7 linked regions of the Neurospora crassa OR74A genome follow. The protein of the gene in region 1 interacts with the protein of each later gene in a pairwise test. Links are inferred from orthologs where the notes say so. Each region holds a gene or a part of one and is shown in the gene's direction. Other genes may lie near its edges. The genes, in order: NCU07041, NCU09437, NCU03702, NCU06409, NCU08323, NCU03824 and NCU00301.

What was found.
Region 2: the proteins of NCU07041 (region 1) and NCU09437 interact in binary tests that used the Saccharomyces cerevisiae proteins (3 or more experiments, as listed by UniProt). The link is inferred for Neurospora crassa OR74A from reciprocal best matches to the Saccharomyces cerevisiae genes KRR1 and UTP22.
Region 3: the proteins of NCU07041 (region 1) and NCU03702 interact in binary tests that used the Saccharomyces cerevisiae proteins (3 or more experiments, as listed by UniProt). The link is inferred for Neurospora crassa OR74A from reciprocal best matches to the Saccharomyces cerevisiae genes KRR1 and NOP1.
Region 4: the proteins of NCU07041 (region 1) and NCU06409 interact in binary tests that used the Saccharomyces cerevisiae proteins (3 or more experiments, as listed by UniProt). The link is inferred for Neurospora crassa OR74A from reciprocal best matches to the Saccharomyces cerevisiae genes KRR1 and KRI1.
Region 5: the proteins of NCU07041 (region 1) and NCU08323 interact in binary tests that used the Saccharomyces cerevisiae proteins (3 or more experiments, as listed by UniProt). The link is inferred for Neurospora crassa OR74A from reciprocal best matches to the Saccharomyces cerevisiae genes KRR1 and ENP1.
Region 6: the proteins of NCU07041 (region 1) and NCU03824 interact in binary tests that used the Saccharomyces cerevisiae proteins (3 or more experiments, as listed by UniProt). The link is inferred for Neurospora crassa OR74A from reciprocal best matches to the Saccharomyces cerevisiae genes KRR1 and RRP36.
Region 7: the proteins of NCU07041 (region 1) and NCU00301 interact in binary tests that used the Saccharomyces cerevisiae proteins (3 or more experiments, as listed by UniProt). The link is inferred for Neurospora crassa OR74A from reciprocal best matches to the Saccharomyces cerevisiae genes KRR1 and SAS10.

What each region holds. Positions count from the first base shown.
Region 1 is NC_026504.1:4,998,612-5,002,193, forward strand, and holds NCU07041 (90S preribosome/SSU processome component KRR1), read left to right. Parts: upstream 1-1,308; 5' UTR 1,309-1,487; coding exon 1,488-1,742; intron 1,743-1,800; coding exon 1,801-2,150; intron 2,151-2,217; coding exon 2,218-2,575; 3' UTR 2,576-3,082; downstream 3,083-3,582. Other genes in the region: NCU07042 (alcohol dehydrogenase), read left to right, coding at 3,230-3,288, 3,420-3,582. UniProt on the Saccharomyces cerevisiae protein: Required for 40S ribosome biogenesis. Involved in nucleolar processing of pre-18S ribosomal RNA and ribosome assembly. Essential for vegetative growth.
Region 2 is NC_026507.1:182,558-186,687, reverse strand, and holds the start of NCU09437 (hypothetical protein), read left to right. Parts: upstream 1-1,330; 5' UTR 1,331-1,415; coding exon 1,416-4,130. UniProt on the Saccharomyces cerevisiae protein: Involved in nucleolar processing of pre-18S ribosomal RNA and ribosome assembly.
Region 3 is NC_026505.1:2,139,447-2,143,493, reverse strand, and holds NCU03702 (rRNA methyltransferase NOP1), read left to right. Parts: upstream 1-1,247; 5' UTR 1,248-1,534; coding exon 1,535-1,649; intron 1,650-1,885; coding exon 1,886-1,946; intron 1,947-2,008; coding exon 2,009-2,243; intron 2,244-2,304; coding exon 2,305-2,630; intron 2,631-2,688; coding exon 2,689-2,855; intron 2,856-2,916; coding exon 2,917-2,984; 3' UTR 2,985-3,800; downstream 3,801-4,047. Other genes in the region: NCU03703 (60S ribosomal protein L17), read right to left, coding at 1-107, 200-387, 590-803, 992-994.
Region 4 is NC_026503.1:1,301,258-1,305,427, reverse strand, and holds NCU06409 (ribosome biogenesis protein Kri1), read left to right. Parts: upstream 1-1,370; 5' UTR 1,371-1,479; coding exon 1,480-3,651; 3' UTR 3,652-3,847; downstream 3,848-4,170. Other genes in the region: NCU06410 (GTP-binding protein YPT52), read right to left, coding at 1-537, 598-661, 730-804. UniProt on the Saccharomyces cerevisiae protein: Required for 40S ribosome biogenesis. Involved in nucleolar processing of pre-18S ribosomal RNA.
Region 5 is NC_026504.1:2,401,819-2,405,899, forward strand, and holds NCU08323 (bystin), read left to right. Parts: upstream 1-1,353; 5' UTR 1,354-1,517; coding exon 1,518-2,137; intron 2,138-2,198; coding exon 2,199-2,327; intron 2,328-2,390; coding exon 2,391-2,563; intron 2,564-2,631; coding exon 2,632-2,850; intron 2,851-2,904; coding exon 2,905-3,045; intron 3,046-3,121; coding exon 3,122-3,282; 3' UTR 3,283-3,581; downstream 3,582-4,081. Other genes in the region: NCU08324 (DNA-binding protein HGH1), read right to left, coding at 1-498, 572-685, 754-903, 974-994; NCU16789 (hypothetical protein), read left to right, coding at 3,725-3,800. UniProt on the Saccharomyces cerevisiae protein: Required for normal export of the pre-40S particles from the nucleus to the cytoplasm.
Region 6 is NC_026505.1:2,530,918-2,534,427, reverse strand, and holds NCU03824 (hypothetical protein), read left to right. Parts: upstream 1-1,413; 5' UTR 1,414-1,588; coding exon 1,589-1,807; intron 1,808-1,952; coding exon 1,953-2,732; 3' UTR 2,733-3,010; downstream 3,011-3,510. Other genes in the region: NCU03825 (hypothetical protein), read right to left, coding at 1-1,054; stk-25 (ABC1 protein), read right to left, coding at 3,072-3,510.
Region 7 is NC_026503.1:3,362,661-3,366,905, reverse strand, and holds NCU00301 (Sas10/Utp3 family protein), read left to right. Parts: upstream 1-1,450; 5' UTR 1,451-1,599; coding exon 1,600-2,994; intron 2,995-3,052; coding exon 3,053-3,541; 3' UTR 3,542-3,745; downstream 3,746-4,245. Other genes in the region: NCU00302 (3-ketodihydrosphingosine reductase tsc-10), read right to left, coding at 1-695, 766-921. UniProt on the Saccharomyces cerevisiae protein: Primarily required at the G2/M phase. Essential for viability: involved in nucleolar processing of pre-18S ribosomal RNA as part of the ribosomal small subunit (SSU) processome.

The sequences.
Region 1 (3,582 bases):
GACCGTGGGCCCGTGACCGGGATTGCCAACTTCGGGATCGAGACTGCGCAGGCGGAGGGAGGTGCGGGTGTGTGGTGGTCGAGGTCAACGTCCCAGAAATGACGTCTGTGCTTATGATGAATTCGATTTGTTTCTTTTCCTTTTCTCTTCTTCTCAAGGATAGACAACGACAATTGCCGTCGATCTTGGCAAAGGTCACAAGAAGCAGCGATACCTGAAGGTCTTGGGGTTCGGGATAAAGACCGACGCCAGGGATACGAAGGGGAAATCGAAGGGAGTAGTGTAGAATGTCGCGGGGCCGAAGAAGAAAAAGAAGGGGAAGATGTTGCAGGGACGGAAGGAGTTCTGATTCTTGGCGACACAAAACCGAACCTACCCCTTTCTGACGGAAAACGTTGATGGATTTCGAAACCTCGTGCACGGAATGCTGTAATCCGTGGCGTACCACAGTGCAGATTGTGCTTGCCCGATCATGATGACCACAGCGCGCCAGGGTCGTCAGATCTTTGCAGGTTCTCATTGGGCGAACCTGGGATGATTTCTTGGTTCTTCAGCTGGAAAACCAACGACGAACGTTATCCAGCCTTACCGCGACTTTATCACGGCGAACCTGAAAATTGCTGCTGTTAAGTTCGTCAACTTTGACTCGGGCGGGATTCGATGCTTCACCATCAATTACTTCAGCGTATCTTGAACACCTTGGTGAGATTTTACCGACGGTACAGGTGTCAACAATGGCCCTGCTGGGAGTATACAAATCACGTTGAGACCCCAGCAAGTCAAAACGCTCTTGTCGCCAATCCCACCATGGCATATCAAGACCTTTTGATGTCGCCAGCACGTGTGATTTCTTGTTGATGTTCCGTGCCGTGCCGTGCAAGCCCCTGTCATGATAAGCTAGTATGTAGATAAGATAACATCTACAACCTGGGGGGAAAAAACAGCTGAAAGGAGCAGATGGCCAAGAGTACTTGGATAGACTCGTTGCGAAGTACAGCAGGACAGTAATGACAGAACCAAACTTCCACCTCGCTGAGATTTGAAATAACTGAATCCGGTCGTTTTCTTATATTTGCTCCTTTTTTATGCTGTTGTCGTCCTCAATGAAAATACCAGGTTCCAAAAGTTACAACTTCCATGCAAGTGGAAGTTCCAGTTATCAGATAAGGAGCTGCCCCTGCATCTGCCAGCTGGCCGCTGATCCTGTCGCGCTTCTGCAGCCGGAACTCAACCTGCAAGAAGCGCCGCGCCCCCACTCTTACCAGCTGCGGCAGGCTTGTGTTCCAAAAATTTCCATCCGTGCAGCGCGATTCGGCTGGCCATCTTGCCATACAATCCCTTCAACAAGCCATTTATCAAATCCAACCACCAGACCCAAGTCGCTCGCCCTGATATCGTGACCTGTCGCACAACCTCAATCGAGACCTCTGATTATTCATAAACATCAACAGCCCACAAGAGCCCCGAGAAACACATTTACAGCCAAAATGCCGTCCACACACAAGAAGGAGAAGCCGTGGGATACAGACGACATCGACAAGTGGAAGGTCGACCCTTTCACCAAGGACGAATCCTCCGGCCCCTTCCTCGAGGAGTCTTCGTTTATGACCCTATTCCCCAAGTACCGCGAGCGTTATCTACGAGACTCGTGGCCACTCATCACCAAGGCCCTCGACAAGCACGGCATCACCGCAGTTCTCGATTTGGTGGAGGGTTCCATGACAGTGAAGACGACAAGAAAGGTACGGCGGATGCGTTTGTTGTCTTTATAGTCACCACTCTTTGCTAACTCACGTCCAGACATATGACCCCGCAGCTATTCTTAACGCCCGCGATCTCATCAAGTTGCTCGCCCGTTCAGTACCAGCCCCACAAGCGATCAAAATTCTCGAAGATGGCATGGCCTGCGACATCATCAAGATCCGCAGCATGGTACGGAACAAGGAGCGTTTTGTTAAGAGGCGCCAAAGAATTCTCGGACAGAACGGCACAACGCTCAAGGCTCTCGAGCTTCTCACACAAACATATATCCTCGTGCACGGAAACACAGTGTCGGTAATGGGTCCTTTCAAGGGTCTGAAGGAGGTGAGGAGGGTTGTTGAGGACACCATGAACAACGTTCACCCAATTTACATGATTAAGGAGTTGATGTAAGTTTTGCGCCTGCACGCCCACTTGCGACGCCCCACAACAACAATAACTGACATGAGAAAACAGGATCAAACGCGAACTCGCAAAGGACCCCGCTCTTGCCCACGAAGACTGGTCTCGTTACCTCCCCAACTTCAAGAAGCGCACGCTTTCCAAGCGCCGCGTCCCCCACGTCGTCAACGACAAGACCAAGAAGAACTATACACCCTTCCCCCCTGCGCCCGAGAAGAGCAAGGTGGATCTCCAGATCGAGTCCGGCGAATACTTTCTCGGCAAGGAGGCCAAGCAGCGGGTGGCGGAGCAGGAGCGCGCAGAGAAGGCCAAGCAGAAGAAGGAGGAGAAGAAGCGCGAGCGCGAGAAGGAGTATGTGCCGCCCGAGGAGTTGACGGACAAGAAGGCCAAGAAGAGGAAGACGAGCGACTAAGCTGGTACAAGTGGTGCAATCCAAAATATGGGGGCGGTGGAGGTGGAAATGGAGTTGAGGAAGACGATGATGAAGAGAAAGAGAAAGGATCCTGGAATCCCATGATACCCATACTTCAGCAGACGATTGAGATTTCTCCTGCTTCGGGATCCAAGGGTGATCTGGTTGCTAAATTTCACCAAAAGCCTTTGTCAAATGTGTTATCAAAAACAATGACTTGTCCAGAAAAGATGTCGGTTCTTGAATCTGTCGACATTTCGAAACCCAAGGCCGAAACAAAACCCGATGACGATCGCGAATAAAGCCCGATGTGGCAGACCCGCACCACAACCGGGCTGCTCCACCCCGGCGGATCGCAAACCAGGGGCATCACAAGGCGGGCCGAGGCAGTTGCATCATTGGAGCGGGATCCGGCAACGAATGCGGGGGAGAGTGGGGGCGGCCATTGGTCGGTGGCAGGGTTGGTGGGAGAGGCTCAATGACAGAGTGACAACACCCCTTTCCCCGGGTCCAATTGATAACAAATCTGGCCGATGTCGCAACTGATTTAAACTTGATGACCCTTTCCTTCTTTCACTTCTTGAACATACTTCAACACTCATCCAGTGGATTGGCCTCGGTAAAACACAACCCACACATAAACACAACGCCAAGATGCCTCTCCAACTCACTGTCAAGAAAATTGACGGTAAACCCGGCCAGGTTTACTACCCGTAAGTGTTTTGTTCTTCCTCTTCACATAACCTCACCTTTCTTCTCCCCCATACATATCCCCATCACCACCACCAACCAACTCACTCCCACCATCCTCCCCGCATGACTAACCCTCGGCCTCCCCATCTAGCCTCCAACTAAACACCATCCCCAAACCAACCCCCGGCCCCGGCGAGCTTCTCATCCGCCTCCGGTCCTGCGCCCTCAACCACCGCGACCTCTTCATCCGCCAACACCTCTACCCCGGCATCTCCTTCGAGCAACCTTTTCTCGCTGACGGCTACGGCGTCGTC
Region 2 (4,130 bases), on another chromosome or scaffold:
TTAAATTTCGTACTTATCGTAAGTTCCGGGCTCAATAGAATATAAGTATAATCGCCGCATTAAATTTAGTCCCAAATATCCCAGTTCTATATATAAATTAATAAAGGTACTTAAGATTCGTAAAAAAGGGCAGAATACTTACTTTTAAAGTCACATCTTTATTTACCTATACTAGCTTTAAATCTAGCACTTTAGTAATAATATTATTATATTAACTTTCTCCAAACTTAATTAACAGTATAATCTATATTGTAATTTTATTATATAAAGCTAAAAATATATATAGGACAATACTTTTTCCGTAGCCCATTACTGCGACTAATATTATATCCTTCTATTCGTACGCCAACCGTACTACCGCCTTAACCTAGCCTTTTCGAGGGTCTTTACTATTACTAATAATATCTTTTATTACCCGCAATATACGCTAGGGGTCAACGGAGGGATCGAAATTAGGATCTATAGTATTAATACCTATAGAGGATAGAAAAAATTAAGGAAAAAAAATAACGTACTATAGAGTAAAGAAAACTATACTACTATATTAATAGTCGTATAATATCTATACCTACAAAGTTTTATAGTATTGGGATAAAAAGCCGTACTGTAATATATAGCTAACTAGGCATTGAATATACGGACTTACGTAAAGTTTTTACATTTTCTATAATAATTAATACTTTCAATAGTCGTAGAAAAAAATTAATAATACCATTAAATCCGTCTCAACGAACTCTTTCTCCTCATATCTTTTGTATAACCTAAATCTATTGTTTTATTTTAACGCTATATTATCTTTCTTAGAAGTTTATCAATATAAATTCCCCTATCCGCTTCTAGTCTAATTGGGAATTCAAACCTCTTTTTTAGGCGTTCTTATTCAATACCGGAAAGTATACTAAAAGAATGGGTACACGGATCACAATTTAGAAACTTTAGTAACTTTCAATTTATTATTTTTTTTGAGAACCCCGGGCGCGCAGCGCACGGGCCAGATGTGCGCGCAGCGCACTTTCCCAGCGGCCGCAGGCCGCCCATGCCTAAAAAAGAGGGTCTGATTCTGAGATAAGGGCCGGGCGCTCACTGTCTGTCAGTTGAACCCCACAGGGGCAACCAACCAACATTGCCCCACCCGACTGCCCCTGTCGGGTCTTCCACTGCCCCTGTTTGTGGATTGACCTCTTATCTCTTATCGGAGCTCCAGAGTCTCAAAAAATTTGGGAATTCCCGTCGCAAACTTGAACGAGACTCGAATTTGCAGAACTTCAATTGGAGGGACGACGCTCGGTCCACTGTTGTTTGGCTTTCAGTGCTCTCTCTCTCAGTGTCTTGTCACTATCAATTTCCTGTCTCCATTCCCAGGACATCCTCCTCCACCATCACCATCATATACCTATACCACCGCCACACATACAATGGAACCCGGATCAGCAAAACGACGCAAGATTGGCCATTCACGCGGCGGTGAAAGCGCAGTTGGCAACATCGACGCCGCTGCCTCCTCGGGTCTCTCGCGTGGCCGCGCATTCATCCTCGAAGCCGAAGAACTCGTCGACGAAGTGAAGCTCGACTATGCCACGGCCCTCGAAGGCGTCGACTCCCTCCTCCACAAGATCAAGGGCTCCATCGAAGCCATCGAAGCCCACGATGCCCTCCAGATCGCCGAGGCTGCCACCAAACTCGAAAAGAAACACAAGATCCCGATCCCGTTCCCCGAGCCGCGCCCGTCCGACAAGTCCAACTACAAGGTCGCCTTCGCAAAGCCTTCCCAGTTCAACGTTGTCGGCAGCTATGTGTCCAAGACCATGATCAAGGCCCAAAAGAGCCATGCTGTGGATATGGTGGTTGTGATCCCCGGCGAGACTCTGCAAGAGAAGGACTACCTCGACCTGCGATACTTTTACAAGAGAGCCTACTTCCTCGGTGTTGTGGCTGCTGCCCTACAAAAGGACCTGGCTGATGATGGAGAGCTTTCATACGAATACCTGAATGGGAACACCCTGTCCCCCATTTTGTCGTTGAAACCAAAGGTGGAAGGAGAAAAAAAGGAGGGCCAGCTGGACTACAGAGTGCGCATCATCCCTTGCGCCCCAGACAACTTCTTCCCCAAATCAAAGCTTCACTTGGGCGCTACCCTCGTGCGCAAAGCTGGCGGTGACGAGTCCAAGGCCGCGACCAAGCCTACGCCCTTCTACAACTCGACGATTGTTTCCGAGTCCTGCTTCTTTCCCTACTTGAAGCTCTTGCGACAAACCGAAAAGAAATGCGCCGCGTTCAAGAAGGCTTGCATCCTGGGTCGGGTGTGGTTGCAACAACGAGGACTGGGAAGCGATATGGCGGACGGTGGTTTTGGTCACTTTGAATGGGCGGTACTTTTGGCCCTTCTGCTCCAAAGCGGCGACAGCACCAAGGGACATGCGCCCTTGTCTACATCCCTGAGCGCCACCCAGTTGTTCAAGGCCATGGTCCAGTTCTTGTCTGTTACTAACCTGTCCGAGAAGCCGTGTGTTTTGGGAACTGCCACCGTCGAGTCCGAAACCACTGGTCCGGTTCTCTTCGACGCTGTTCGTGGTTTGAACGTTGCCTTCAAGATGAGCAACTGGTCTGCGGCCAAGCTACACCAACACGCCAAGTGGACAAGGAGCCTTCTCAACGACAGCACTGCCGACCAGTTTACCCCTACCTTCATCCTCAAGGCCGACCTCCCCTGGCAAAACTACGACCTCATTGCCCACCTCAACTACGATGGAAAGCAGGACAAGACAGAACCGATTGACTGCCGGGGACGGCTATGGGAATACAGCGACAAGGTGCACAGGGTTCTCAAGCGGGCTCTTCAGGACGAAGAACTAGGTGAAAGGGCTCGGTCGATTCACATTCAACTACCCAAGAGCTCATCCTGGGATCTCACCAAGAAACCCTCCACCAAGCAGAACCACACAATCGAGATTGGTGTCCTCTTCAATGCCGCCAACATGACCCGCTCTGTCGACCGCGGTCCGGCCGCTGGACCTAGCAACGAGGAGAAGGAGGAATGCGCCAAGTTCCAGCGGTTCTGGGGTGAGAAATCGGAACTTCGTCGGTTCGAGGGTGATTCTATCAGGGAGACCTTGATCTGGTCGTCCACCTCCCCCTTTGACCTCTGCGAGGAAATTATGCGCTACATCCTCAAGCTCCATCTTCGCGTTGGCTACCTCGAGGACGAGCTCACCTTCCACGGCGATGGCTTCACCGAGTTGATTCCTATCAAGCCGACCGACACCTCCGTCTTCAACGCCGCTCGCAAGGCCTTTTCCTCCTTCGAGAAGGATATCCGCGACTTGGACGACATGCCGCTGCACGTCAGGCAAATAGCCCCCATCTGCCCCGAACTGCGACACGCCTCCGTCAAGGTGCCCTTCTCGACCGTCAACAAATCCGGCCCACGCCCCCTGGAATGCGTCATCTCCTTTGAAGCCTCCGGCAAGTGGCCCGAATCCATCGTGGCCATCCAACGCACCAAGATCGCCTTCCTGCGCATGATCGGCGACCTCCTGGAGCGTTCCAAGCCCGGCGAGGTCCGCTCTTACGTCGGTCTCGAGTCCTCTACCACCACCAACACGGAACTCGAGAACCTCGCCTACCTCGACATCGTCTACGAGTCCGGTCCTGCCTTCCGCCTGCGCATCCACTCTGACCTCGAAGAGGCCCTCCTCACGCGCCAATCGCACGACAAGACCATCGACCAACACCACCGCCACCAAGCCTCCGTGCTCCTCTCCAACTTCCGCAGACTCTACTACCACCTCCCTCTGCACACTCAATCCATCAACACCTTCGCCACCCGCTTCCCCGCCTTCTCGCCCACCGTCCGCCTGCTCAAACACTGGTTCTCCTCACACAAACTCGCCTCCCACTTCACCCCCGACTTCATTGAACTCGTCGCCCTCCAGACTTTCTTGAGCCCCTACCCCTGGGACGCACCCTCCTCCCCTTCCGTCGGCCTTCTCCGCGCCCTCCTCTTCGTCAGCAGATGGGACTGGCGCTCCGAGCCGCTCATCGTCGACACCAACAGCGACATGCCATCGTCCGAACGCTCCGCCATCGCCACCCGTCTCGAAGCCTGGCGCAAGATCGATCCGCTCATGAAC
Region 3 (4,047 bases), on another chromosome or scaffold:
GAAAGGTGAGCCTCCTCGCGGACAACGGCCTCGGACTTCTGGACGACCTCATCGGCCTCAGTGAGGATGAGCTCGATGTGGCAGGGGTTGGACATGTAGGGGTTGATCTAAAACATAACTGTTAGCCAATGACCGGCTTGATCGTCTATCTGCCGGCGCAGAAGCAGAAATCAGGGGGGTATCTCCGGGTTTGACGTACGCGACCGTGAGCGCGGTAAGTGCGGCGGCGCTGCTTGGGGGCCTGGTTGACCTGGATGTGCTTGACAACGAGGTTGCCAGTGTCAAGACCCTTGGCATCGGCGTTGGCCTCAGCGTTCTTGAGGAGACCGAGAAGGAACTCGGCGGACTTGGCGGGCCAGCGGGCGCGGGAAACACCGAACTGCTTGCCTATATGACGAAGAAACGGTCAGCACCGTGTCTTCTATGTCCTCCATTCGATTGCGGTTTCGTGTCGGTCGGTCGCGGTTCCATCATGCTGACAATGCCCCCCTATTCCCCCGCCACTTTGTCCTCCCCACTGTCGTCGTCGTCGTCGCATGATGTACCGGTTCGGGTGTGTTTGTGCATGTAAATATCGAGTAAGTCGTACCTTGGGCGGCGCGGCCGGTGCCACCAGCGTAGCGTCTCATGGGGACAGCCTCCTTCTTCTCAAGAACGTTCTCGAGGAACTTCTGAGCACGCTGGAGCTTCCAGCCATTGATGGCCTGGGCGGTCTCACGGGTGTTCTTGAAGGAGACACGGAGGTAAGAGCCGCGCGAGCGGGCGGACTTAGCCGGGGCAATCTCAGTCGCAGCGTACCGAACCTGCGATTTTGAACAAGACTCGGTCAGCGATTCCCTCTCCTCCAAGTGCTCGCAATGCTCGCAAAGCCGTCATTGTCGTCCGTTGAGACTTTCGTCGTCATTTCGGCTGCAGAAGCCCGAAAACTGTCCTGAAGCAAAATAACGGCGGCGATTCTCTCGTTCGGCGGATTTCGCAGGGATTTACTCACCATCTTGCCTGCTTGTCGATGAGAGGACGGGGAATCGACCAAGTGTGATGTTCAGAGGTGGTGATGGGTTCCAATTTTGGCGTACAAAAACCGATTTTCGCGATTAGGGCTCTGTGGGCACTGCGCAGGTGGCTCGTGCGGACCGTCACTTTGCCTGAGGCACGTGCACGCGGGGACAGTAAGTGCTAGCGCCGATAACAGCCTGCCTCCTGGACTGCCGGCCGTGCACGATAGCATCCGCAACAAACTGGAGAGCCTCGACCGCCACGCCAGGACGACAGCCAATTGCAAAGGCAGAAGGCCTCGACCGGAAAAAAAAGTGCTCCAGCGATGAGACTTCGTGCCCCGCTTTTTTTTCTTTCAATCCATGTCCAGGAAATTTTGCACCCAGCTCCAGCAAAAGCTCTTTTCCGAGTCCTCGACAGCGCCGCGCGACAACTCTAAACCCATTGTGCCTCGCACGACTGATCTTACAACGCGTTTCGGCCCAGAATCGCAACTCATACCGACTCCGACTTATCAATACCGACACATTCTATAAAAATGGGCTTCGAGCGTGGTGGCAGAGGCGGCGCCCGTGGCGGTGGTCGTGGTGGATTCGGTGGTGATCGTGGTGGCAGAGGCGGCGCCCGTGGCGGTAGCCGTGGTGGCTTCGGTGGTGAGTTTGGCCTCAATGCCATCGCCTGAATGGTCTTTGCGGTTATGTCGTTGCTTCTGTTCGTCATCTTGAGAGATGTCTCTGCGTCTGCTGCGGCCCGTGGTCGCCATGCATGCCTCTTGACTTCTCGTAGTAGGATGGCGATTTCAGTCGAACTTCATATCGCAACTCGACTCAACATGCGATGGCAACAGCAACCACATTAACGCAACACTTTACTGACAATGACTTAACAGGCGGCCGTGGTGGTGGTGCTCCCCGTGGTCGTGGCGGTCCTCGCGGTGGTGGCCGTGGCGGGTACGTCTTGTGTTCAAAACCCTTGATTACTCCAAAGACATTGACTGACATTATGAGTATAGTGCTACCCGTGGTCGCGGTGGTGCCCGCGGTGGCGCCAAGGGTGGTGCTGCTGGCAAGAAGGTCATCGTCGAGCCTCACCGTCACAAGGGCGTCTTCGTCGCTCGTGGTGGTAAGGAGGATCTCCTCGCTACCGTCAACCTTGTCCCTGGCGAGTCCGTCTATGGCGAGAAGAGAATCTCTGTCGAGAACGCCTCTAAGGAGGAAGGTGGTGCTTCCACCAAGACTGAGTACCGCGTACGTTTTCCAGGCTTTCCAGCTTGTGGCCTCAGACAAAGACTAACATTGGACTTTGCAGATTTGGAACCCTTTCCGTTCGAAGCTTGCTGCCGGTATCCTCGGTGGTCTTGAAACCATCTATATGAAGCCTGGTTCCAAGGTCCTCTACCTCGGTGCTGCCTCCGGTACCTCGGTCTCTCACGTTGCCGATATCGTCGGTCCTACTGGTTCCGTTTACGCCGTCGAGTTCTCTCACCGTTCCGGCCGTGACCTCATCAACATGGCTACTCGCCGCACCAACGTCATCCCCATCGTTGAGGATGCCCGTAAGCCCATGGCTTACCGCATGCTGCTCCCCATGGTCGATGTCATCTTCGCCGATGTTGCCCAGCCCGATCAGGCCAGGTAAGCCGACTTATACAGATCCTTGACACTGTATGTGCCTGACACTAACACATTTCAGAATTGTCGGCATCAACGCCAAGCTCTTCTTGAAGCAGGGTGGTGGTCTTCTCATCTCTATCAAGGCTTCTTGCATTGACTCCACTGCTCCTCCCGAGCAGGTCTTCGCCTCTGAGGTCCAGAAGCTCCGTGAGGACAAGTTTTTCCCCAAGGAGCAGTTGACTCTTGGTACGTCCATCCGCTTCCCTTTTGGTTGATAGAGCCAACAATAACTAACAATCACCCACAGAGCCTTACGAGCGTGACCACGCCATGGTTTCTTGCGTCTACCAGCAGAAGGAGTTCGTCGATAACTGAGTTTCGAATTAGTACTGTTCTATCTTCGTTGCTCTGTTCTGGAACCTTCACATAATTCGGTGTTCTACTGGCAGGATGGTTTTGTAAATCTGGAACGGCGAATGGCGTTTGGGTATCTGCCTTGTTTTAGCATTGTGGGAATAAAGCACCAGGGTTCTTAGACTGATATCCGGAGTGACCCCGGTTGCTTCCATCTTACGCCGCCTTTCACGATCTCGTCACGACTCCTAAGTCACCGCGCAACGAACCTCCTGTTCACCAGCGAAATTGGCCAGCCTACAACACATCAAGAACGATCACCAGTCAATCACCCTAAGAACGAGAAGGGCGCTGGATAGTCAAGCAGAGGTTGCTTTTATCGGCGCTTAAAATGCTCGACAGCTTGGTTCGTCTTTATGGCGTTTGAAATCTGCGAACTGAGAGTCCCTCCCCTTTCATCAGGGTATCACGTCGAAAACTGAGACTATTCTGGCCATTCGAGTTTCAAAGGAGATTGTTTGGGCCTGGGGACGCAAGGGTACTGCAAGCCAGTCATTACATGGCTTTGAGGATTATTTAAACATGCCTAGAGTCTATCCAGGATCAAGAGGATGCTGGGCCGTTGGTTTCGCTTGTTGATGAGCAAATTTGAGCTTGCTTAGTCCTATAGATTTACATATCAGAGTTTTGGGTCATCTTTGCTCCTTATCATCGGCCTTGTCGGCGGTCTTGTTACTTCTTGAGCTTATTGTTTGTTGCTTTATTCGATGCTGGATATGCTCTGATCTATGATTTGCATGCTATCTAGCTCTTCGATATCTCACCCCATTGCCTCTACACCTTCCCCGTACTAAGCGCTCTTGCACCGCTGAAAATCTTATCTTCTTGGCTCGTTTGCTTGCGGCGTTGATCAGAGCTGACAAAGTAACTCAGGCGACAACATATCCCGGGACGAGACGCGCAGCGTTAATGGAGAGTACGGACAGTGTAAGTGTGATCCGTTACCGGGTACTAAGCCAAAGTACCTCTACAACTTGTGGCCCAAGCCAGGCTAAAGGATATATAATTACTATGGTCCCGGGGA
Region 4 (4,170 bases), on another chromosome or scaffold:
GCGGCCCGTTAAGGTTGACCCTCTGCTCTTCTGTGCGGCTGACACCGGCATGCGAGGCACCAGGCCCACGCGCGCTCTTCAACGACGTCTCGGGGATGGCGTTTGCAATGGCTGTGAAAACCTCAGTAACGTTATGTCCGGTCTTGGCCGAAGTCTCAAAGAACAAGAGACCCTCCTCCTCGGCGTATGCCTTGGCCTCGTCCGTCGAGATCTTGCGTGCGTCGCCCGAATCCTCCGCATTGTCGTCGCCACCTCCGGAAGCCTCGGCAGAGCCGGCCGAGTCGCTGGTCAGATCCAACTTGTTGCCCACGAGCGCGATAACGATGCCGGGAGACGCTTGTCGCTGGAGCTCGGCGACCCAGTGCTTGGCCTTGATGAGTGAAGTAGGTTTCGTCAGGTCGTAAACGACAAGGGCGGCTTGGGCGTTGCGGTAGTACATGGGCGCTAGAGAGGCGAAGCGCTCCTGGCCTGCTGTATCCCAAATCTCGAACTTGATCGTCCTCGTGGGCAGGTTGCACTTCTGGGTTAGGAAGGCGGCTGCAAAAAAGTGTCAGCTAAACTGGTGCAAAGAAAGTCGTCATGACTTCAGGAACTAACCTCCTATCGTGGGCTCCTTGTTCTCTTGAAAGTCATTGTTGACGAATCGGAGGACGAGCGACGACTGTGGAACGATTTGTGTTAGGCATGTGTTTCTCGAGCATGGTGGTTTTGGAGCAGAAGACTGCGCACCTTTCCGACAGCAGCTTCACCTAGAAGCACCAGCTTGACGCTGCTGCTCGGCTTGGGCGCGTTCGTATCGGCCATTGTCGTTGAAGTGTATTGTTGCTACAAATCTGGGTGGATGGGTTGTGGAAACGGCGGGGCTTGCGGCAGCGAGCAACTACAGCAAGGGACAATAGCAAGAACGGCTATCTTTGATAATGCGACAGCGACAGAGCAGTGCAGTTGTGGAAGGGAGGACGTTGGGTGGCTGCCTGTTGGAAGACAAAAGATGTCTGAAGATGGATCGTTGATGGGTTGGGAATCGGAGTGAGGTGTGACGTGATAGGTAGACGGCAGCAATGAGAGTAAATGGATGGATGGAGCTTGTTCATTCAGTTAGTTCCCTTCCAGTCGGAAAGCCAGGCTCGCCGGGATCCAGCAGGCATTCGGTCGGGCCACGGGCAGGCGTCGCATGTCCTCGATGTCCCCCCTCGCTTGCGCTGTGAGTGGACTCCAACTTCCCCTCCATGCCAAGACTCATAGCCACATATGTATGCCTTTGTGAACCGTGCGCAATCTCGTGGCAGGCAAATTGGACTACAAGTACGTACCGCCAGCTGTAGCCCGGGGACTGGACTTCGAAAAGGTCCCCACTAAAAAGTTCACTTCGAAAATTTGGGGGCGTCAAAGTCGCAACGAAAGTCTTCCATCCTTTATGCGCCAGGATTGACTTTCCACCCCTTCGCCCTAGCATCTTCAAATCTAGCCCACCTCAAGATGCCTCGCCCAAAGTCAAAAGCGGCGAAAGCCAGAGTCACAGGCGCCAATACCGATCCCATTGTGCCTAGAAAGGGTCTGTTCGACGATGATGCCTCCAGCGAAGACGAGCAGGACGGCGGTGCCACCCTCGGTACCGCTGCCGACTTGAAGATCAATGAGGAGTACGCCCGCCGTTTTGAACACAACAAGAAGCGCGAGGAACTCCACCGTCTCGAGGAAAAGTTCAAGTCCAAGAAGGAAGGTGGGCTAGGCGAAGACGAGGACGAAGAGGACTCTTCCGAAGACGAGACCGAAGACGATGAGGGCTTCCTTGTCACCGAGGACCTCGACGCCGAAATCAACGCCACTCTAGAAGCTATCAAGAAGAGGGACCCCCGCATCTACGACAAGGAGGCCGTTTTCTACACGCCAATTGACGCCGACGGCCAGCCCGTCAAGGAGAAGAAGGAGAAGCCCATGACCCTGCGCGACTACCACCGCGAGAGGTACATGGCCGGTGACATCGGTGCCGACGAAGATGACGCGCCCAAGCCCAAGACCTATGCCGAGGAACAAGCCAACCTGAAGCAGAACATTCTGTCTGAGATCAATGCCGCTGTCGGCGAAGACGAGGAGTGGAGCGACGACGACGCCTTCATCAAGCCCGTCAAGAAGGAGGAGGCGCCTACCGAGAACGGCGTTCACCCGTCGCGCGCCAAGGCGATCGATCTTAACGAGCTCGACGTCAAGAACGCTGACAAGAACCCCGAGGAGTTCCTTTCCAAATTCATGCAGTCCAAGGCCTGGGCGCCCGCCGACGGCTCGCGCTGGGAGGCTTTCGAGTCGGACGAGGGTGAGGACAACTTCCCCGAGATGGCCGAGGAGTTCGAGCACGCCTACAACATGCGGTTCGAGGACCCCAACAAGAGCAACGAGTTGCTCAAGACGTACTCGCGTAACCTGGCCAACGCCAAGTCCGTCAGAAAGGAGGAGCTCACGGGCAGAAAGAAGCAGAGACAGCTCGAGAAGGAGCGCAAGGAGGCCGAGAAGAAGCAGCGCGAGGAGGAGCGTGCTCGTCTGCGCCGTCTCAAGATTGACGAGGCGGCCGAGAAGCTATCCAAGATCAAGAAGGCTGCCGGTCTCACCGGCAAGGAGCTGTCCGACGAGGAGTGGATGAAGTTCCTCGAGGACGCCTGGGACAACGACCGGTGGGAAGAGGAGATGCGCAAGCAGTTTGGCGAGGAGTACTACGCCGAGGGAGAAGGCGACGTGTCCGGCAGCGACGAGGAGGACGACGAGGACAACGAGGACGGCAAATCCAAGAAGAAGAAGAAGAAGCTGCCCAAGAAGCCCGAGTGGGACGACGATATCGACATCAAGGACATCATCCCCGACTTCGACGACGCTCCCGATGTTGTCCTTTCCGATCTAGACCTCCCCAAGCCCAACGGCGACGACCAAAAAGCCGAAGACGAGGACGCCGACCTCGGCTCCGACCTCTCCGCCGATGAAGATGAAGGCCGTCCCTCCAAGAAGCGCAAGACCACCGCCGACATCAAGAAGGAGAAGCAAGCCGCCAAGCGGGCAGCCAAGGCGGAACTAGCCAAGCTTGAAGCTTTGGTCGACACCAAGATGGAACTCGACACTCCTCGCGCGCTTTCCGCCCCCAAGGACAAGAAGTACAAGGAGAACCTGTTCCCGTTCCGCTACCGCGAGACTTCGCCCGTCTCGTTCGGCATGACGGCGCGCGATATCTTGTTGGCGCCCTCGGACGCCGCGCTCAACGAGTTCGCCGGCCTCAAGAAGCTGGCTACTTTCCGCGACGCCGAGAAGAAGCGCAAGGAACGCAAGAAGCTTGGCAAGAAGGCCCGTCTCAGGCAGTGGCGTCGCGAGACGTTTGGCAAGGAGTTCGAAGCGACTGGTCCTACCTTTGGGTTCGAGGCGCTGGACGAGGATGGTACGCCCCTTGGCAAGAAGGATGAGGGTGCGATTAAGCATAAGAAGAGGGGTGAGAACAAGGACAAGAAGAGTGGCGAGAAGAAGAAAGAGGAGAAGAAGGAAGAGAAGAAGGAGGAGAAGAAGGAGATTGCTGCTGGTGAACGGGGAGCGGATAATATCATCGAGGGAGAGAGGAAAAAGAAGAGGAAGAGAAGCAAGAACAAGAAGGACAGTGAGAAGGCTGAGGCCTAGAGTGCTTCGTTGCCACTTCGGTTGTCAGTATAGTTGGACAAGCAGTGGCGGTCACGTTTGTTTGTTCTGTTTAGGGTTTTGTATCGTTTAGTCTATTTTAGAAGGCGTATTGCATCGCGGTGTTACGGAGAAATCATACAAAGTTAGAATTAGCTATACCAATCCTCGATGCTTCCTCTCATCTCGGAGTTCATCGTCGTCTTCGCTACCTACTCAGTTACTCTGCATGACACTCAGATGGTGTTCAAGTTGTCTTCATGCTTTCCTGAAGAGAAGAGACACTCCCCTTCTCCCCCCTCTCCCCTTCCCCCCGGAGGCGGAGCGCCCGTCCTGTTACTAAAATCCGTCATCGCCACCCTTTCCTCTCTTCTATCCTCTTTTTTTTTTTTTTTTTCTCTTTCTTGTGCACTTTCGACCTTCCTAACATCTGGCCCTGTCTTCCAGTTGTTACTCTGTTGGCCACTACAACCAACTCCAGCCTCTTCTCATATTGTTGGCCACTTTGGCAGAATAATCAGG
Region 5 (4,081 bases), about 2.6 Mb from region 1:
AAGATCGGTAAGCATTTCCAATGCCTCATCCTCGGGATAAACTTCGCCGCCCATGATAGGAAGTAAAATGTAGGGTAAGATATTGACGTCATCCTCATCCAAAAACGCCGGGTGCGAAGGAATGTCAAAAGCAGCGTTCTTGATAATGCTCGCCACTCCCTTTCGCCTGATATCGGACTTGTGTTCGGTAAAGACCTTGATCTTGTTGATTGGAATAACATCGTCGTAGTCCTGTCTGTTGACAAAGTAGTGCCGGATCTCTTCATGTTTCGAAAGGTCGGCAAAGACGTAGGAGAGGTAGTCGTAATCGGCGTGCTTGTTGTAAGTCCCGTCGGCGCCCTTGACGAAGAGGTCCATTAGTTGGTTAATGACCCTATCGTCGGACTTGAGCTTCTCTGGAGCGGGCTGTTTCCGGTCTAGAAGACTTTTGAGTCCATCCCACTTGGTCAAGTTTGCCAGCAACATAGCCATAAGATTGGCGTTAACCTCCTCGGGCTCCTATAGGAACGGGATCGAAGCGGTTAGTCCTTGCTGCGCACGCACCGTAGGAGCTCAGAATGGATACACATACGACAAGAAGCCCGAGGAGGATTCCAAGGAAGCGATCATCGGTCGCGACGTATTCCAGCACATCCTTCTCGGCAGTCAAGTTGATCAAGCATGTTAGGGCGTGCTCGGCGATTTTCTGCACATGGTACCGACGTCTTAGCTGAAGCTGCTTGGGCGCAAACAAGACAAGTCTGTTGGGCCTACCGGGTGGTCGCGGATCAAGAACTTGAGATGCTTGATGGGGGTGAGCTCGTCGGTCTTGAAGAGGGCGGGCTGAGACGCTGAGAAGGGCACCAGGTTCTCTGTCGCGAGAAGGCGGATGTTGGCGTTCGGCGAGGCAATGAAGCCCACGAGCTTCAGGCGATTATAGCGATTAGTTGTCTGTCCACTGACATTGACACTGCACTGGTTCTGGCAGAATTACCTCTTCAAGTTCGGTCGGCATGTTATCAATGGTAGCTGGATGTATGGTTGTATTGGACTTGCTATAAGCTCGTAACCGTGGCGAGCGAGGCTATGATGTCGCGACTTCCCTTGCTCTTATTCATGCAGTGGGCCAAGCTGCAAAAACTGTAAACACAGGGAACAAAATTCCAGGAATTTGCAACCGAAGAGGGGCACAGTGACGAAAATGCGGGGCAATAAAATGTTTATCGCTGCTCCGCCGGGCGCGTCCAAGCTAGACGATAAGCGATAAGAGGTATTGTACCGCTTATCATTTTCACCGCCCTGGCATCAGAAAATAAAGTGTGCCCACACAGCAAAGAAGTGACCAACCACAAGCGTAGCGCAAGCCTTTCAAGTGCCCAGACTTCTCCACGGCGGGAACAAATTGTCCAAGGGTCGCCGAAAAAAATATCCCCAATTGCCGTGTGCAGCCAAGTCGACATCGCAAAGAGAGGGGACAACCAGGAGAGCTCCGTATCATCAACTCTTCCCCCGATTGCACAACCCTACCGCCATTCAAGATGCCCAAGACAACAGCGGCGACGTCGAAGAGGCGCCACAACCCCCTCGAGGCCGACCTCGTTTCTACCGGCGTCCTTAAGAACAACTCCGGCAAAAAGAGCAAGAACACTCGCGCCGCCAACGACGAAGATGAGCAAAAGTATGTCGACGCCAAGGCTTCGCGCAACATTTTGGCTATGAGCCGTAGCCTCATCGAGGAGGAGGAGAACCTCCGGACAACACAAAACGCAGCCTCCGGATCTGCTCCTTCGGCGTTCGAGTTCGATCCATCGAGATTCGACCGCAACGATGACGAAGACGACAAGTTTGAGAACGACGAGGCCTGGGGCGAGGAAGAGGAGGAGGAGGTAGAGGAAATCGAAGTCGACGCCACCGATCTCGAGACATTCAACCAGTTTATCACACCCACAATGAACGAGGACCCGCTCCTAACACACGGATGGGATGGAAAGCCAGAAGGGGCAGAAGAGCAGGGTCAGAGCGTGAACCTGGCGGACCTTATTCTTGCCAAGATCGCAGAGAAGGAAGCCGGCGGCCCCCAAGGCGGGTACCGCGACGAGCCTGGCCCAATTGATGAGGATTACGAGATCCCCCCAAAGGTGATGGAAGTGTTTGAGAAGTAGGCTGGCCGTTATTTCTGTTACCCTCTTGGCAGACTACTGACAGACTCCTTCTCGCAGAATTGGCATGATTCTTTCTCGCTACAAATCTGGGCCGCTTCCCAAGCCTTTCAAGGTCCTTCCTCAGATCCCCCACTGGGAGGACATCTTGCCCATTACACAACCCGAGTCCTGGACTCCCAATGCCTGGTATGGTTGCTTCTTCCTGTTTTCGGGAGCCAGAGAAACGCTGCTGACATTTGCGATTGTTAGCTACGCGGCCACCAGGATATTTGCGTCCGCCAAGGAGGCTGTTCTTCAACGGTTTATGGAGATGGTGATCTTAGAACGCGTCCGCGAGGACATTCACGAGACCAAGAAGCTCAATGTCCATCTTTTCAACTCCCTAAAAAAGGCCCTCTACAAGCCTGGTGGTTTCTTCAAAGGTGTGTTATTTACTGCCTACGCTTAGTCAGGTTTGCTCAAAAGGGACAACCCAGCTAACCGTTGGCAGGCTTCTTGTTTCCTTTGGCGGCTTCCGGAACGTGCTCGCTGCGTGAGGCGCAGATCGTAGCCGGTGTTTTGACCCGGGTCACCATTCCGGCTGTTCATTCCGGTATGGCCATTAAGGGCTTGTGCGAAATTTCTTCTGCGCAGGCTTCTCAGCGCCTCGACTGCGTTAGCGCTACGAATTTCCTCCTCAAGACTCTGATTGAGAAACGTCACGCCTTGCGTAAGTCCAATTCCTAGCGTGCCAATGATTGTATTCTCTGACTTTGTAATACAGCCTTCCAAGCGCTCGATGCCCTCGTCTTCCACTTTCTTCGGTATCCCGCTTTCGCCACCGGCGGGCATATGGCACCCAACGCTTTACCAGTCATCTTCCATCAGTGCATGCTCTCATTTGCACAGAGATACAAGACGAACAGTGAGTTTGCTTCTTCCGTCGCTGTTTCACTATGCGTCCCTATTATTTTTGAGTACTAACCGCGGTCTTTGTGTAGTTACTGAGGACCAGCGAGAGGCTCTCCTGGATCTTCTCCTAACTCACGGCCATGACAAGATTTCGCCCGAGATCAGGCGAGAACTTCTCGCAGGTCGCGGAGGTGGTGTCCCTGTCGCGCAACCCGGATTTGATGGCGATGACACGATGCTGGACGCTTGAAGAAACATCGGTGATCCGGTAATGACTTATAGACGATGAACCCTTGGTATGCAACGAGGACATGTGGCTCATTTTTACCTGGTACGCGCATAGAGATGGGAGTCGTGTTGTTTAGTGACCTTGGTGGCTTGGGGCAGTCCTTAGACATTGACCCCTTTGATAATACTATGTCACGCCTCGACAGTGGCTACTACTCATCACGCCGCTTGAAGAGGAAGTGGTCATGCCAAGTCAGTCACCATGTACTACCCTTTGTATCTTAGTGGTGCTGACCAACCAGCAACATAATTGTTGACGACCTGTAATGCTTTAGTGCACGAAATTATAAATTCAAGATACCCGGTACAGCAACAGGAATTGTCGAGGAGCCTTGGAATAATCATTTTCAGTTATGTGAAGGAAGCTGCCTTTTGACTTCTTTGTTGCGTCAATCTGGCTTGGAATGCCCTTCTCCCATTTTTCCAAGTCCAAGGCAACCGCGATCCTCTGCCACGTTGTCGGAATCCTGAGAGAACAGTGTAAAGGGAAAGAAGGCAATGTAGCTCTCGCCTACTTCGATATCTCGTGTATCTGATGGCATCATCCCGTATTAGGTGCTTTTACCATACGAGTTTCTAGTGTTCTCTTCCTAACACCCGGTCAACCCGAACATTCTAAGCACTCCGCCCCTCTCGTTTCCCTATTTATTCTTGAGATTGCTTTCTTACCCCGAGACACCAAGTTCTACTCAGTATTTCCGCAAGATCAGGATTTTCGGCGCTGCTTTCTGGCGTTTCGCCTAAGAATCCCGACACCACCT
Region 6 (3,510 bases), on another chromosome or scaffold:
TGGGCGGATGAGAGGGCCTGGAGGTGGGCGGTATTTGCTGTTGCTGGCTATGGTGGTTGTTGATGTTATTGTTGTTGTTATTGTTGTACTGTCCTCGTCTTCCTCCTCGTGAGTAAGGTCCAGGACTCCTGGGGCGATAAAAGTCTGGGTGTGTGTTGTTGGTGTAGGTGTTGTTGTTGTTGCTATTGCTGTATTGTCTTACTCGTGAGTAGGGTCCGGGACTCCTGGAGCGATAGCAACCAGCGGGCTGAGGGACCTGAGGCCTGTTGTTGTTGTTGTTGTTGTTGTTGTTGGTGTTGGTATGGTAACTTCGTGTTCCTGCTCCCGAGTAGAACGGCGGCAGAGGTTGTTGCCAATGCGGTATGGTCGTTCCTGGGGCGAAGGTGTTGAGATGAGTAGGAGGGATGAAGCCATAGCCCATATTTGGGGGCGGCGCATATCCCATGCCATATTGCTCTTGCCGAGGATAGTGCTGTTGGTTTTGGTATTGGTATTGTTGTTGTTGTTGCTGCTGCTGAACAAACTCCCCCTGCCATATTGGCGGGTAACCCGGCTGGTAGCCGAAGTGATTGTGATCCATTTGGTCCACTGTTTGCTGTATTTGTGCCTTAAGACCGTCTTGAGGCTGTTGTTGTTGTCGTTGTAGTTTGTCCTGCTGCTGACCCAGCCTTTGACACCTTCTTTGCTCCTGCGTTTCGTTTCCGTTTTTGCTGCCCCTTTGACCCTTTCCAGCGGAAGCCACTCTGCCCTGTTCTCCAGCCGCCTGGTGAGACGGTTCTGAGGGGCCTGGTAATGTCTCGTTTGATTGTGCGGTTCCCTTCTTAGCCAGGTGTTGTACGCCAAACACAGAGCACAGTTTATCCGCCTCAAAACTGTCTTCAGCCGTATGAATGCACCTCGTCGAAGGTTGGTTGGCCAAGAACGGTTTGTATGTGTTGAAATATTTATTGCGAGGCAAGTAAGGCAATAATGGTGTAGTTGGCAATAGTTGCCAGTCCTTTGTGAGACGAAAGCGACCTGGTGTGTTGAATATTCGTAATCTGTTCATCATCATCCTTGAGATAAAAAGACGAGGCCGGTGCAAAAAGGTGCCGCTACGGACCACTTGGCTCCAAGGTGCTTGAAGTCGGCCCGGCTCGCATTCAGCTGTAGGCCACAGCTGTTGAGGAAGATGTGCGGTAATAAATATCCAATAAGCCGTGTTCCTGGACCTCCAAACAACTCAGTGAATGAGATGTCACACTTTTATCAAGAAGTGATGTTGTACGCCTGTTTGCGGCCTCTGTGCTTTTCAGGGGACGGGCAAAATATCGGTTAGGAATCTAGCCAATCATACATTGAGAAAACCCGTCAAAGCGGGGCAATGTTGCTTCACTCGCAGGCGGCAGAACTTTCAACGCCAATTCGACAACCAACTACATACACATATCCATGTGACTTCACTCATACCTTTTCTTCACCCGCTGCTGTTTGTTCCCTCGTAAAAGGGTAACCATCTCAAATCAAACGCACAACAAAGTTGTCACTGCCACCAGAGACAGGATAGAACTTATAAAGGACGAAATTGTGGACCCGAAAAGAGTAAGAAATGCCTGCGGTCAAGCGAAAAGCTGCCCCTACGCTGGGTGCTAAGCTCCAGAGACGTGTTCGTCCGAGATTTGAAGCCGAGCCCGACTCGGATGTGGAGGGGAGCTCAGATGAGGCCCCTAGTGAGGAAGAAGGCGGCGGCTTTCACACAGGCAGCGACACCGAGGAGGAGGAGGAGGATGAAGAGATTGAGGAGGGCAGTGAACCAGGCAGTGACGATGTAAGGGTTTTTGTTTTTTTTCTGTTTTCTTCAAATGGGCACAAAAAAACAATACTATCATTTTTTTTTTTAAAAAAAAAAAAAAAAAAAAAAAAAAAAAAAAAAAAAAAAAAAAAAAAAAACTACGACTAATGCTCAATAACAGGACTCCGACGCACCCTCAGAGCACGGCGGCGCCGGCATCGACGCCTCGCAGCTCTCATTCGGTGCTCTCGCCCGAGCCCAAGCCTCTCTCGGCGCACTGAAGAAAAAGAAGAAGAAGAAGGGCGGCGATGAGGACGGCTCCGATGACGATGAAGAGAAAGAAGAGCCCAACTGGAAGACCGAGATCGAAAAGGGCATGAAGGCCAAGGTCGAGAAGCACCACCGCACCAACAAGCACGCGCCCGTCGAGACGACCTCCAAAAAACCCGTTTCTCGGCGTCGCGACTTTCTCGCCAACGAGCCCGCCAAGCCCAAATCCCGGGACCCACGGTTCGCGCCCCCCGGCATCGGCGGCAGCTCCGGTAAAAGCGTAGTAGATGAGATCAAGGCGCGCAAAGCCTACTCGTTCCTGGACGACTACCAGGAGGACGAGATGAAGCAGCTGCGGATGGCCATCAAGAAGACGAAAGATGCCAACGAAAAGGAGGAGCTGCAGCGGGCGCTCCTGTCGATGGAGAGCAAGAAGAAGGCGCGCGCCCGCAAGGATAAGGAGCGCGAGCTGTTGTCGGAGCACAAGAAGAAGGAGAAGGAGCTCATCAAGCAGGGCAAGACGCCCTTCTACTTGAAGAAGTCAGAGCAGAAGAAGCAGTTGCTTGTGGAGCAGTTCGCGAGCATGAAGAAGAGCCAGGTCGATAAGGCGATTGAGCGCAAGAGGAAGAAGATTGCAGGCAAGGAGAAGAAGGCGTTGCCGTTGGCGAGACGGACGGCTGAGGATAGGTAAACGAAGGGGAAGAGTGGATTATTGCTTGCTTGAAACACTGGGGGTATACTATAAATGGCTGCATGGGAGACATACCTAGGTATCAAGGACTGATAGATGAAGCAGGCGCGCAAAAGGTTGGAATGGTAATATTCACAAATATTGTTACAAATCACCCCACAAGTGCTGGCTATGCTTTTTGAGGTGATCTTACTCGGTAGATTCCCTATAACAGAGAACATTCGGCCGAGATGTACAGGAAAGAAGAAAGAATCACTTGCAGAAACTCTGGTCTAACCCTCCAAATCTATCCCTACCAGCCCGACTTCCAGCCACAGTAGTATCATACATACACCTCACTCACTTCTTCCCGAAATACTCCGTCTTCTCCAAAGCCTTCTCAAACATCTCCCTACACCTGACCCTACTCCCCAGCCTCGCGCACAACAAAAACGCCCCACTGAGCTTCCTGTGCAAGCTATACGTCTCTTCCGGCGGCGGTGCCAGCCTCTCATGGATCATGACGGGGATCTGCGCTTTGACCCTCTCCGTAATCGTCTGATCTCTGAAATCATACACTTCCGGCGCACTCTGCAGGAACGGCTCAGCCAGTGTAACGACACTAGTGATATGCGCCTCCAGCATCGCTCTACTCTCATGACCCGTCAGATACCCCAGCTCTTCAGAGAGGGACTTGACCGCGGGGCGATCACCCCGCGACGCGGCTTCGAGCAGGCGGATATACAGCGAGATGAACTCCTCCGGGTATTCTCGGCTAGCGCCAAAGTCGAGCAGCTCC
Region 7 (4,245 bases), on another chromosome or scaffold:
GCTACCGTATCCGGGCTTTCCGCTGGCTCGTCCTTTTCCAGCTCCACCGTGATGTCCGGCTTCGTCTGATTTTCCCTCTCGTAGCCCGGTGATACAATCGTGCCGGGATACACAATGTGCACCTTGACCGGGTTATCTGGGTAGTAATTGACCTCCATCGCCAGGGTATCCGCCAGTCCTCTCAGCGCCCATTTGGTTGGGGTGTACGGGCCATAGCCCAAAATCGCAAAAAGCGCCAACATTGACGCGGTAAATACCAAGTGCTTCGGCTCTCCGTTGGGTCCCGTGCTGTTTTCGGGTGCCAGCCACTCCCTCAAAATCGCCCGCGACATCTCCGCCGACCCAAAGTAGTTGACGTCCATGTTGCGGCGTGCGGCCGCCATGCTGCCATCGTCGGTCCACAGCAGAGGCGTCGACATGCCGGCCACGCACCAGACGATGTCCGGGGAGCGCCCGCCATTCCAGGCGATAGCTTCGGCGAGGACCGCGGCGGCGTAGTCGTGCTCGGAAACGTCGGCTGAGATGTAAGTGAAGCGTTGTGTGGACGGGTTCTTGGCGGCGGCGCGGACGTCGACGAGGGCTTCTTCAAGGCGCCCGACGTTGCGCGAGACGAGGATGACATTGGCGCCCTTTTGCGAAAGTTGGATGGCCGCTGAGCGGCCCATGCCTTCGGAGGCGCCGGTTAGGAGGACGGTCTGGTAACAGGGGTTGAGTTAGTGTTGTTTGGAGGTCGGGTCAGGTCGGGTGAGGCTTCGGGGCGCATACCCGGCCCTCGACTGGCATGTGGTTTTTGGAGCTGAAGAGACCCATTGTAGCAAATATGCCAATGGCCGCGACGACGGCTGCAACTGGGAGAGACCAGGAGGTGCTGAGGGTTTTCAATTGTTCCATCAGCGACTCTGAGAAGAGATAATGGTTCATCCTTCCTTGGATCGTGAAAGAAGATCGGGCTCGAGGAAAGTGGAATTGTTGACGCGGCGGCGCCTAAGCTATTCTGTATACGTCTAGAGTACGAACGAGTACCTCTACGGCGTAAATTTAGTGGATGCTGTCAGCAGTTCCCGTCGTACTGGAGCTTACACCCCTGTCTGTAAGTGACTTGTTGATGGGTGATGATTCGACCGATTTCTTCGCACTCCGTAGGAAAATGAGGTTTCTGGAACCATTTGCTGGAGTTTGCGTTTTCGAGTCTTCAGAAGCGGTTTTCTCTACTGTCATAACTGAACCCATTGAGGTCATGTCAACGTAAATCTGGCAGGCCTGGGGGGCATCTTGGAGCTTCCCGTCGACCCTGAGGACGGGATGGAAGCTTTGACCATTTCAGATGTAACTGTGGAGCATCTTCAATTGTGGGGTTAGGCAGCCTGCATGAGAGTGGAGCTGGGCGGTCGAGGTTCCGCTGAGAATGGATCGCAAATTGACAAGAGCAAAAAAATTCTGCCGCTTCAACATTTGTTGCCCGCCTAGCGAACGAACCCACCAGCCCATTCAACGAGCATCTCCAAGTGCCTTTTGGCAGCGTCTTCACGTCAACGTTTCTCAGTCGCGCCAAACTCCATCCAACACGCCTGAATAGATAACCGCGACACAAACGCAAAAATGGCGAAGAAGAGAAAAGCCCCGAGACCGACCGGTCCCGCCGAGCCTCGCGAGGTCGATGCCAAGGACGCCCGCCTTACCGTTAAGACTTACAAAGATGTCGCCAACTCCGAAGACGAATACTGGGAGAACCAGGATCGCATCGACTTTGACGACAGCGATGATGGCAGACAATCCAAGCGCAGGCGCCAAGACAAGGAGGAGGAGTTCCTAGAGGCTTCTGACGAGGAGGTTTTCGAGGAGGACGAATCCGATGAGGAGAGCGAACACGAAGACGCCGCGCCCGCGAAGGGCAAGAAGGTCAAGACAACAGTACTTTCCGACGAAGAGATGGGTGGTGAAGAGGAGGAAGAAGGTGACGAAGGATGGTGGGGTTCCTCCAGAAAGGACTACTACAATGCCGACCAGATCGAGACCGAGGCCGATGCCTTGGAGGAAGAGGCTGAGGCAAAGAGGCTCCAGGCCAAGAAGTTGGCCAAAATGTCCGAGGCCGATTTCGCGTTTGACGAGAGCGAATGGCTAGGAACCAAGGAGGAGGCCGAGGGAGAGGAGGATGTCATTACCGAGAAACTCAACGAGATCGAAGTCACAGAGGACATGGGGCCGGAAGAAAGATACAAGCTTCTACAGAGCCGATATCCCGAGTTTGACTACCTGGCGCAGGAGTTTAGGGAGCTGCAGCCGATTCTCACAACTCTTCAAAAAGAGGCCGAGGGCAAGCCTGCCAAGTCTCTGGAGATGGTCAAGTTCTGGACTCTTGGGTGTTACATCGCTTCACTCGCCAGTTATTTCGCTATCCTGACTTCGCCAGCAAGAGACAGCCAAGGTGTGTCCAAGACGATCAGCCCTACGGAACTCAGGGACCACGAGGTTATGGGCACGTTAATGAGCTGTCGCGAGGCCTGGCTTAAGGTCAAGGAACTCAAGCCGCTCAAGAGCGTCTCCTCGACCAGCGGCATGCTTTCGCCACCCGAAGATGAGGGCGAGTATGATGACCTGTCTGACGACGATATGGAGGACTTCAAGAAGATGCTCAAGAAGAGCAAGCGCGAATCCAAGGCTGAGCTCAAGGCCAAGGCGAAGAAGGAGGCCGAGAAGGCCAAGAAGGCCAGGGCTGTCGAGCAGTCTCTTGCCGATCTCTCCAGTTTGCTTGAAACCACCAAGACGGCAACCAAGGCCAGCAAGAAGTCTGTCAAGGTCGACAAGCGCGATGACGATGAGCGCTCCGACTTTGGTGACGAGGAGATCCTTGAAGCTCACGTGGCCAAGGAGAAGGCTGCTCGCAAGAAGAGTCTCAAATTCTACACCTCCCAGATTGTGTCCAAGTCCGCCAAGCGTGCGGATGCGGGTCGCAACGCCGGTGGTGATGACGATCTTCCCTACCGTGAGAGATTTGTAAGTCGGCCATTGCCTAAAAAACATGCCGTGTTGTCATATACTGACTTTTGCGCAGAGAGACAGGCAAGCACGGCTCAACGCCGAGGCCGAGAAGCGCGGCAAGAAAGACAGCAAGCACGGCGCCGTGCTGGGCGAGGGCGACAGCGACGACGAGGACAAGGCCGTTGCCAAGCAGGTGCGCGGAGAGGAGGACGAGTACTACGACATGGTGGCGCACAACGCGGCCAAGAAGAAGGAGGACAAGGCGGCCAAGTACGAGGCTTTGGCGGCTGCCAAGGGCGCCCGGGTCGTGGAGGAGACGACGATCGGCCCCGACGGCAAGCGCCAAATCAACTACCAGATCCAGAAGAACAAGGGCCTCACGCCGCATCGCAAGAAGGAGAACCGCAACCCGCGTGTCAAGAAGAGGATGAAGTACGCGGAGAAGCAGAAGAAGCTCAAGAGCGTCAAGGCCGTGTACAAGGGCGGCGAGGGCAAGGGCGGGTACCAGGGAGAACTGTCGGGTATCAAGACCGGCTTGGTCAAGAGTATCAAGCTTTCTTGATAGGGCTCTGGTTGTCGTGGTTGTTGGACTGGTTTGTAGTACTCTGGGTATATCATGCATGTATAGATTTTTGGGTTGTTGATAATCATGGCCTCAACGGAAATGGAAAAAAGCAGGCTTGCACACACAATGGCATTGTATTTCTTGAACACACTTGATACCTCTTCAAGATCTACAATATCTACAATGTCCAGTATTCTCAACACCGGAGGTCGCCGGTACTCGCACCCTGTTCAATCGTGTTAGTACAGGTTCATGGTAAACCCCGGGTCTGAGAATAGGGCTATATAAGAATCCCTCTCATTTTTTTTCTTTTTCTTTTCCATCCCAATTTTTAGTTCCTCTTCGTTTCTGTGCCCTTCCCTGGCATTTCTTGTGTGCCAGATTCCGAAAGAGCGAAGGCGATGTTGACTTGGAAAGGATACAAGGCCTGCGAGGGAGCCAATAGGAGCTCTGAGACGAATCAATGCAAATGCCCAAATCTCAACTTTGGATAAATGTAACACCACCACATGATAAATTATTAGATTGGGCAGTTTCTGAACAAACACAACATCCTAAACCGAACACTTCAATTTCGTTATCTTCAGTACAGGTATCTTCAACACGGATCGTTCAAGAAGTAGAGGTAATTTTTGGGATGAAACACTGGAATGTTAGAGCAATGATTAGGACATGCCACATTATTTTTTTCCAGTCCACCA